2 linked regions of the Saccharomyces cerevisiae S288C genome follow. Changing the gene in region 2 together with the main gene of any one other region gives a genetic interaction. Each region holds a gene or a part of one and is shown on either strand. Other genes may lie near its edges.

Region 1 (5,154 bases), 740 kb from region 2:
TAGCCAAAAGGAAAGGTCGTGTTATTGGCATCAACTTTGCCTTCTTATTCATCGATTCATTAGGTGCTTGGCTATCTATCATCAGTGTTATCCTAGGTAATATGGATATTATGGGTATTATATTATACTCAATAGTTGCTGGAATGGAGTTAGGAATTTTCGCGTCTCATTTCATATGGTGGTGTAGGTTTAGATTCCTAGCTAAAGGCAATACTTTTGACGAAGAAAGTGGCCAAGCTCAAAAGGAAGAACCCGATGAAAAAATCGAACAAGATATTAGCAAGAGTGACCGAAATGTTACTAACTATAACCTGGATAACTGTTCAATCCCCGACGATGCTTCGAGCTTTGCAGACGATTTTAATATATACGATAGTACTGATGGGGGGACGTTATCAAGAGCCCAAACATTGCATGCTGTCCATGGAGTTGTGGTTAGAACAGATCCTGATCGTTATTCGAGGCTAAGTGTGTAACGAATCTGAGTCCTTTTTAGTTAGCACGTTTTCATCTCTTTTTGATAGCACGCTTAATAATATTCACCACTAGCGCAGTAATATGGCATCTGCCGCAGGTGTAAAGGTTTTCACTTCGCTTATATTCACAATACTATGCGTTCAAACACGGCCATCAGAAAAGATCAAAATAAGGATTATTAATTAAAAACTTAAACAGAAATTCAGTTTGCAACACCCTTCGCAATGGCGAAGTTTCCAAAAACAAAATCTCCAAACAAGATTAACATTCTTCTTATGTAACCACATGATATGCATATTTTATATAGACTGTACACATGAAAAACTTTTATCGTCCAAAATAATTAAAAGAAAATTTCAATCATACCATAGCACACTGTTCCAGTAACTGAGAAAAACATTGTGAAGCAACCAACATAATGCCAGATTGGCGCCAAAGTGAACCGACTAAATAACAACAACAGGCACGCACAGATCAAAATAAGGGAAACCAGTAAGGAAATGATAATAATGGCTATGAGAATATTTTGAATTTCTAAATCTATCTCATTATTACTTTGCCCGCGAAACAAGGATAAAACGATTCCCAGACATACACTTGCCATAATGCAAGATGTTAGCAGTGCAGACAAGTATAAAAATGTAACAACTTCGTCATGCCTATATTCGTAGATAGATTGTGAGTCCTCTATGTCTTGCTGTTGATACTGTAAGTACCTTTGAACGTCATCATATGACGCTGAAGTTGATTGTGAACCAAATGACGCAACAGAACCATAGTTAGTTGATGAACAATGCGGATGCTTAGAGTTTTGAAACAAATCTGGCGATGTTTTCTTGTCATGGCGAATCAAGTTTCGTAACTTCTCACAAAAATCATATGTGCGGTTGATGAAATTCCGGCTAAACAAAATAAACCCATAATCAGGCGGAGAATTTCTCAAAAGTAAGGATTCTTCGTTATCTGTTGTACTCCTGCTTCCATTAGTATCAATGTAAAAAGCATTGTCTAAATTATCCTCTTCTTGTTCATCAAATTCATTCCAATACCTAATAGGTTTCTTTTTAGTTTCATTATCCGATTGCTTTGATTTTTTGTGAATTCGAACTCTTCTGCCGCTGTCAACACTACCTTGTGAGTTGTTTATCGGCCCAGTCAGGTCAAACTCTTCCTCTAGACGATCCTTGCCCAGCTGGAAAAATTCATCAGGTGATAGCGAATCATCGGAATTTAATTTATATTGATCTCTTAGTAAAAGTTGAAATAAATCATTTTGCAATTCATTTGAGTGTACTAATTCTAAACATATTTTCCATGTGGTTAAGTCTGGTGGTATTAAGCTGCATTGAAACTCATTTGTAACAACTGATTTCATTAACTGTTTAAACTTATTGTCTTCATTAATAGCCGTCTGTGAAAGACCACTGGATCGACTAAGCTTTTTAATTTCTAAAATTGGAAAGGGTAATGTAGATACATTTCCAATAGTGATAGATTCATCCAAAGCTATCAAGTATATATCTCCATTGTCTGCTGATATGAATCTTGTTCTTTTAAAATCTAGCTTTGGTTCAATGGTTTTTAATCGATGGGACTGAATCCACTCCAAAGCGATCTTACTGATTGGCGATGGATCCAGTGAGTTTATGAGAGCGCTAATATTTTTTGTGTCGTTGCCACTCCTCATGGCCGAAAGAATATTCTTTACATCCCTTAGAAGCAGATCATTTGTGACAACATGATTTCTTAAGCCGCCCACGTGGCACATTACTATACAAGTATCCTCAGCAGTAGAGCTGACTATCATGTTTGGGTGCTGATTTATATTATCATCAGTAAGTAGTAAAGGACTGCCTTCGTTCCCGACAGTATCTAGTATACTAATAGAAACGTACTTCTCATTGGATTGTACAGCAGAGGGTAATATGTTCTTCTGTTTAGATAGGGATAAGGTATGTTGTAAGTCATTGAATGACTTTGCTGATCTTATAGATTTGTTGCCCGCAGAATTAATATTATCTGTAGTGTCTAAAATCTCCTTTGAAGTGGATATGATGCTATCGTCAATTATCCTAAAACCAATATTCAATAGCATGAACTTCAGTCCCTCTATGTCCTCGGACGATAATAAAAACCTTCCTAGATTCTCTGCTTTATCTATGAGGGCAGTATCGAATTCTAGCGAAGAATCAATCATTTTTGAAGTTTTCTTGTTTGAAAGTAGCGGAATTGACCTTGGAGATGCTGGCAAGGAAGAATTGTTGGCTTCTGGACTTGAACTTGTATGGGCAGATTCATCGGAGCGGTTTAGGGATCTTTGCTCCACTGCTGGCTCAGTTGCATCTTCAAGTTTATTTTCCAAATCATGTAAAACATCAACAATTAGCGAAACTTCTAAAAGATATGGATCTAAATCAAGCTTCATAAATGATATGCCTTCGTGTCCATTTCGTAAACTTTCAGAGTTTCTGATCGACGTAACATACTCACTTGCAGTCAATGGATTTTCACTGTCTTGAGGAAATTCATTTAGTAATTTTTTGAATAACTTTCTCAAGGCAATCCTTTGTATTATCAAAAACCTTGACAGTAGTTGTAGTTCAAAGTTACAATCGTCTACATGAGCGTTGATGATTTTCAGTTTACGAAGGTTGAAACGGTTTCTGGAAGTTTTGTTTAAGCCCTTTGAAAAATCGATTATTGATGATTCCACAGAAAGAATACGAGTGGAAATTTCCTTTATTTTCAAAGAAACAAATAAATTAACATTTTGAAATTCCTGGTCAAAGGCTACTGAACATTGATTCAACAACTTCTCCATGCCCGAATCATTTGGATTGTCATAATCATAAGCCGTTACTTTTTTTATGGCTACTTTTAACTTCTCATAGTTAATATTGTAGAATTTCCATTCAGGGATTGATTTATTCAATATGCGATCTTCAAATTTCATGATTGTACAACCCTTCGTATCTATCCTTACCTAGGGCTGAGATGGAGATATACAAAAAAAAAGCAAAGGTAAAAAGCAAGTATTAAACTCTATCTCTATTATATTCAAGAGGGCAACGGACGAACTATTAATTTATGAATTTTAAAAGTCCTTTGATAGCGTTCACGATAGGGCTTTTTGATCTTGCCTTTGTTTATCTTTTTATCTGTTTTGTTTTTTTTTTTTTTTTTTTCTTGGTTCAGTTTTGACTCTTCCACACACCCATTTCGCTAGCGTAGAACAAGGGGAGACACAAACTTTCTTTTCCTTGCAAGTTAATAACACAACACCCGTCCTCCTGCACTGAATTTACACAGAAGTTAAGAACCGCCTCTGCTTTTCTGGTATTATTTTGCAGCCTTGCCTAAAAAAAGTGTGGTAATTTTTGAGAATAATATATTACTGTGTTTTTCGAAACGAAAGTTCTGAATATTGGCTTGGTCGCTTCCTGATATCTGGAAACTTGTTTAATGTTTTTAATTATCAGTCTTCAAAGCGTCCTGATATGACTTGCCACGTTTCCATCCATTCTATATGTAGTTTAAATACAATGAGATAAAGGGTGCCTGCATGGAACTTTCCATTCGAAAAAAGAGATCATAAACCTTATCTGTCAAATAAAAGCCAATCTATTTGATTAGGTAAAAAAAGTGATGTCAGACCAAAGTGCCCCTCTCCTGCAATGATCATCGATTACGTACGGGTGTAATGATCACGACAGTAAAGTGAGCAAGGTAACTACTATCCCTAAGTGCGGCGTCATTGTAAGTCTACGACGTAGCATATTCAGTTTACTGTACAAGAAAAGTTTTCTCTCTGTAACAAGAGGAAATTGGTTAGCTTTCTACGCTTACTTCGTTTGGTACGATCAGTAAAGGTGAATAAATTAAGATCCACGCCTTCATATGGCAGGATCCACGATATTCCTTGCAATACCCCTGGATAATTCAAAAACCAAATGTTACACGGTATACTTGAAAATCGATACCATATTAGGAACACACCGGCCAAAGGTTGATAATACTTGGTATGAGATAAAACCCGAGCTCAAGGTTTAATGTTAAAATTTTTTGTATATATATATATATAGTAATGGGCTCGGTTGCAAATTTTTATGACTATCTTGAAACTAGTTGAAATTGCAAGAACCGTCACTCTATGGAGTACATGAACAACTAAAAAATAGCTTGAAGATACTTGCCACTCCATGCCATTTCTAGAAAGGGGTCTCTTGAGAAATGTGTGTTAAAATAACGGTTATATAGTTGGAAAGAATATTACTATTTTGCGATTAAGGGATGCCGTATGGCAGGCAAGGAAGTATTTGATCAAGAATACCGATTAATGAAGCATGTTTGCCATTATCGTTGAACCTTGGTATTTCTCAGGTTTCCTTATCGATACGATAGGAATGAGAATCAACTAACATTTATCGACTACAATTCATTATTACTACTATATTATCAAATGCTCTGCAAGGAGATGACCAAAAAGAAATGAGAAACAGTCTTCATCTCAAAATATAGGCAATTACCAGGTATACGATATTTCCTCAAAATGAAAATGCCTAAAATACGACAGAAAAACTTAGGGTGACGACTTTTTAACTAATCACTGAATGCAGCCGAAGCAAGTAATTATTTCCCTCGTTGCTACTCATTGAGGCCGCTCCATATGGAGATTTG
Region 2 (4,574 bases):
ACAAGAACGTAAAAAACCAATCATGGTAGCAGAAGTTCAAAAACAAGCCCCACCATTTAAGAAAACCGCCGTAGTCGACGGTATCTTCGAGGAAATTTCACTGGAAAAGTATAAAGGTAAGTACGTTGTTCTAGCTTTTGTCCCATTGGCTTTTTCATTTGTCTGTCCAACTGAGATTGTTGCGTTTTCCGATGCCGCCAAGAAATTCGAAGATCAGGGCGCCCAAGTTTTATTTGCCTCCACCGACTCTGAATATTCCTTACTGGCATGGACCAACCTTCCCAGAAAAGACGGTGGATTAGGTCCAGTTAAAGTTCCTTTGCTTGCTGATAAGAATCATTCCTTATCCAGAGACTATGGCGTTTTGATTGAAAAAGAAGGTATAGCTTTAAGAGGTTTGTTCATAATCGACCCGAAGGGAATCATTAGACATATCACTATCAATGATTTATCTGTTGGCAGAAACGTCAATGAAGCTTTGAGATTAGTCGAAGGTTTCCAGTGGACTGACAAAAATGGTACAGTTTTGCCATGCAACTGGACCCCAGGAGCCGCCACCATCAAACCTGACGTTAAAGATTCCAAGGAGTATTTCAAAAATGCCAATAATTAATCTTCGCACGATAACGCTAGGCCCTATTAAATAATTAAAAATACATCACCCTATATATGATAAGAAAGATGGTTTTGTATTATTATGAAATTGACTTGAAAGAATAGTGTAACAAAAGAAAAAGAAACTGTAATTGAAGAATGATATGCATTTCTATGTGTATATTAACTTAATCATCTTTATATCCAGAAGACGCAAATGACCATTCGACGTATTTTTCCCATGCAGGTTTGTTTTCGTATAATCTGCCTGCAAGATCCAAATAACTTCCTACTGTTAACGAATCCATTGAGTATGGTTTCTCGTCTGAGGTATATTCTATCTCATACCTGAAAATATCCTTAGATTCAACAAATGAATTATGTAATTCTTGATTGATTTTTTCCAAGTCGGCGTAGAATTGGACGAAACGCGTCGGAGTGAATAACTGCGGTACATATGCAGGGCCGAGTTCGTATTTGTCTGGCATCTCAATTGGCATAGTCTTGTCATTTTTCTTTTTCTTCTTGTTTTTCTTTTCGCCCATCTTCTCGCGGTTGATCCCAACCTCGATATTACTGCTGTCCATTTCATCTTCTAGCAAAGAGTCTTCCATAATCTTATTTAGTGACTCGAAAAATTCATCCCAGGGCTTATACTCCGAAACTGCAAAATTGGAGTCATTCACTATGTCGGTGATGTTATATTCCCAGATCCTAAAGGAAGGATTGAAAGTTGGAATGACTGAACCACCTATGTTCACAATGGAATAGCGTTCAATGAGCTCTTTTCTAGTGATTGGCTTTTTCTTTTTTTTGTCCTTCTTTTCTTTCTTTTTCTTCTCATTTTCAACATTTTTTTCATCCACTCTTTCCAGCTTATTCCACACTTTCCGATAGTATGTGTCGCGGACGGTGTTCATATATGCTTCTTTGTTAGATGGTTTCGCTCCCATTAAAAAAACTTCTTTTGCCGCCATAGCGTGATCCAGAATTCTATTCAATTCAGTTTCTTCGTCCTCTTCATTACTGTCTTCTCCTTGTTGAACACGAGTGGATTGCTCCATGGCTTTCAATAACGATTTTCTAGCTTTTTTACCATCCGTTGGGATGAAGTGGTCAATATTCATGTGACCGTATAATCCTCCAATGATTATATCCCTGTATTCGTGAGTCCATAGCGTGAACTTATCGTAGCACGACTGATCGAAATTTTTTGCGATTGGAGGTACATGTCCACTTAACCATACTTTCATTCCCCTACTCCTTAGTTCTTCTAATACATAACCGAACCAAAGTAAAAGTTGGTAACCTGGTTCTTTTTTTGAATTACAATTGTCAACTAACGGATTGGCCTTGAATAAGTACAGCGTGTTAATTGACAGGACAGCAAGCTTCCCTGGAATAACTTCAGTCAAAAATGAAGCACTCCTATCAAAAGTTCTTTGCTGCTGCTGCGGAACAAAATTTTTCCAAATCCTATAATATTCTCTAGTTTGTAGAGTTGGTCCTAGTGCAAACATGTTATGTGGAAAGACATCATTGTTTCCAAGACTTGGAATGACAGACACATCAAAATCTCTTGGATCTTCTTCATTGCCAGCACTAAATAATTCTGTCATTTTATCAGCAACGATATTGTTCATATCAAAAATTTGTGCTTCTGTTCTTGGATGTTTCCGGTCATTGTCATGTCTGATATTATCACCCGTCCAAATGACAAAATCAATCTTATCTCTAAGATTTTCTTTAATCCATCTCAGAGTTTCTTCCATTAAAATAACGGGAGAATCACATCCAGACATTGCCTTCCCAAACTTGGGTGCCACATCCTTTTTTTTGCTTGGTTTTCCTGTGTGACAAACTGCATCAATAGAGCTTCCTTCCACATAATAAGGGTCAGGATGAATATCGGTAATATGAAGGAACCGTCCATGTAATTTTCTCTCCTTCCCTGTCTTTACGTCTTTGATAATTACTGGCTCCCTAGGTGTCAGTCCTAGCCTTGTAAATTCTATGTCATTGAGCAATTGAAGTGACTCGTTGTCCCCCCTGTCATCTAAGAATTTGGAGAAAACGGAAACATATTGAAATTTAGCACCAATTATAAACACGAGGAAAAACAAAACACAGGTCGACAGGATGGCAATCAATGATTTCTTCTTCGGCCTACTCATGCTTACATTGCGCACTTCACTCTTACCCACTACAACCATCGAAAAGCAGCTAACTAGCTCTACCCCTACTCAATGAAAACAATAGCTGGAGACAAGGAGATCAAAAAAACTTTATAATTCTCCAACCCAACAACCAAAAAAAATATTGATCTGTTGATTTTAGCCTTCTTCTGACTTGTATTCTACCATAAAACCCTTTACACTCTCAAATGAATCTTGGTAATTAAAAGTGCAATATAACTTTAAAGGTGCTAAATTCTAATAACGACATATGTCCTCAATAGTCGGGTAATGGTCATATTTGTCCTCTACCGTACGAAGGGAGCATATTATGCATCCTGCTCGAAACGCTCAGAGAAGGGCCGCACAGGTGGGCAGATCACATTTCCTCTTTCGGCTATAAACCACGTCCTAATTTGGACATGACGCGCGCCAAAAACCCGGAATGGTAAACATCAGACGCGCTTTCCGTGCAGGGATACGTCGGTATTTTTAATATCAATGCTGAATTGGGTTAATAGCATGAGACATTTCAGCCAGATTTTTCGTTTACTCATTGTTTATTTGTTTGATCTGGATCACACAGATGAATGTTTATAAATATATATATGGCGTCCTCCCGATCTTGCCAACGTAGATTATAATTCGTATTATCTTCTTCTTTACCCTCGCCAGCCAGTGTAACTAGCATTTGTAGGGAAATAACAATAACACAAAATATCGTATATATATAACATGGAAAGCAGAAATACCGTGCTTCCTTCTTTACCAAACATTATTACAGGTACTTCTAATTCGCCTTTCCAACTGCATACTTTGCCAAATACAAACTTCCCTAGTGATGACCAAGGTGACATCAGGTTGCCACCATTAGCTGCATCTGCGCACATTGTGAGACCAGTGGTAAATATTTATAAAAGTCCTTGCGATGAGGAAAGGCCAAAAAGGAAAAGTCCACAGGCTGTGGATTTCTTATCACAACGTGTAACCACTTCCATGACGCCTTTATCCAAGCCCAAGAAGCTGAGCTCTCATTCACCATTCACGCCAACGGTCAGAGTCTGTTCTAAAGAGCAGCCACCTCAGAGTATGCACTCTTATAAAAAAGTTAATATTCTTACTCCTCTATCTGCTGCAAAGGCTGTTCTCACACCAACCACAAGAAAAGAAAAGAAAAGGTCATTTGCCTTTATTACACACTCACAGGAAACTTTTCCAAAGAAGGAGCCTAAGATAGACAATGCTCGGTTAGCTCGTCGGAAAAGAAGAAGAACTTCATCATATGAGCTTGGGATATTGCAAACAGCATTTGACGAATGTCCCACGCCCAATAAGGCTAAAAGGATAGAGTTATCCGAGCAATGTAATATGTCCGAAAAATCGGTTCAAATATGGTTTCAGAACAAAAGGCAGGCTGCTAAAAAGCACAAGAACAGTGGCAACACCAGCCATTGCAAAGTTCACTCTAATGATTCGATGTCTATGATATCTTACTCAGACGCTGCGTTGGAAATTACCTCTACGCCAACGAGTACGAAGGAGGCTATTACTGCAGAGTTGCTGAAAACTTCACCTGCCAATACGTCCTCGATCTTCGAAGACCACCACATAACGCCTTGCAAGCCCGGCGGACAGCTCAAGTTCCACAGGAAATCTGTGCTTGTTAAGAGAACATTATCAAATACCGGTCATAGCGAGATTATCAAAAGTCCTAAAGGCAAGGAAAACCGCCTAAAGTTCAATGCATACGAAAGAAAACCCCTTGGGGAGGTCGATCTCAATTCTTTCAAAAACTAATCTTTCTCA

The links.
Region 1: of PPN1 (region 2) and VTC5, changing one suppresses a phenotype caused by changing the other (phenotypic suppression), as found in Saccharomyces cerevisiae (one study listed by BioGRID).

Annotation. Positions count from the first base shown.
Region 1 is NC_001136.10:620,388-625,541, reverse strand, and holds VTC5 (Vtc5p), read right to left. Parts: upstream 3,431-5,154; coding exon 821-3,430; downstream 1-820. Other genes in the region: ILT1 (Ilt1p), read left to right, coding at 1-476. UniProt on the Saccharomyces cerevisiae protein: Regulatory subunit of the vacuolar transporter chaperone (VTC) complex.
Region 2 is NC_001136.10:1,361,111-1,365,684, reverse strand, and holds PPN1 (endopolyphosphatase), read right to left. Parts: upstream 2,808-4,574; coding exon 783-2,807; downstream 1-782. Other genes in the region: thioredoxin peroxidase TSA2, read left to right, coding at 23-613; YHP1 (Yhp1p), read left to right, coding at 3,504-4,565. UniProt on the Saccharomyces cerevisiae protein: Catalyzes the hydrolysis of inorganic polyphosphate (polyP) chains of many hundreds of phosphate residues into shorter lengths.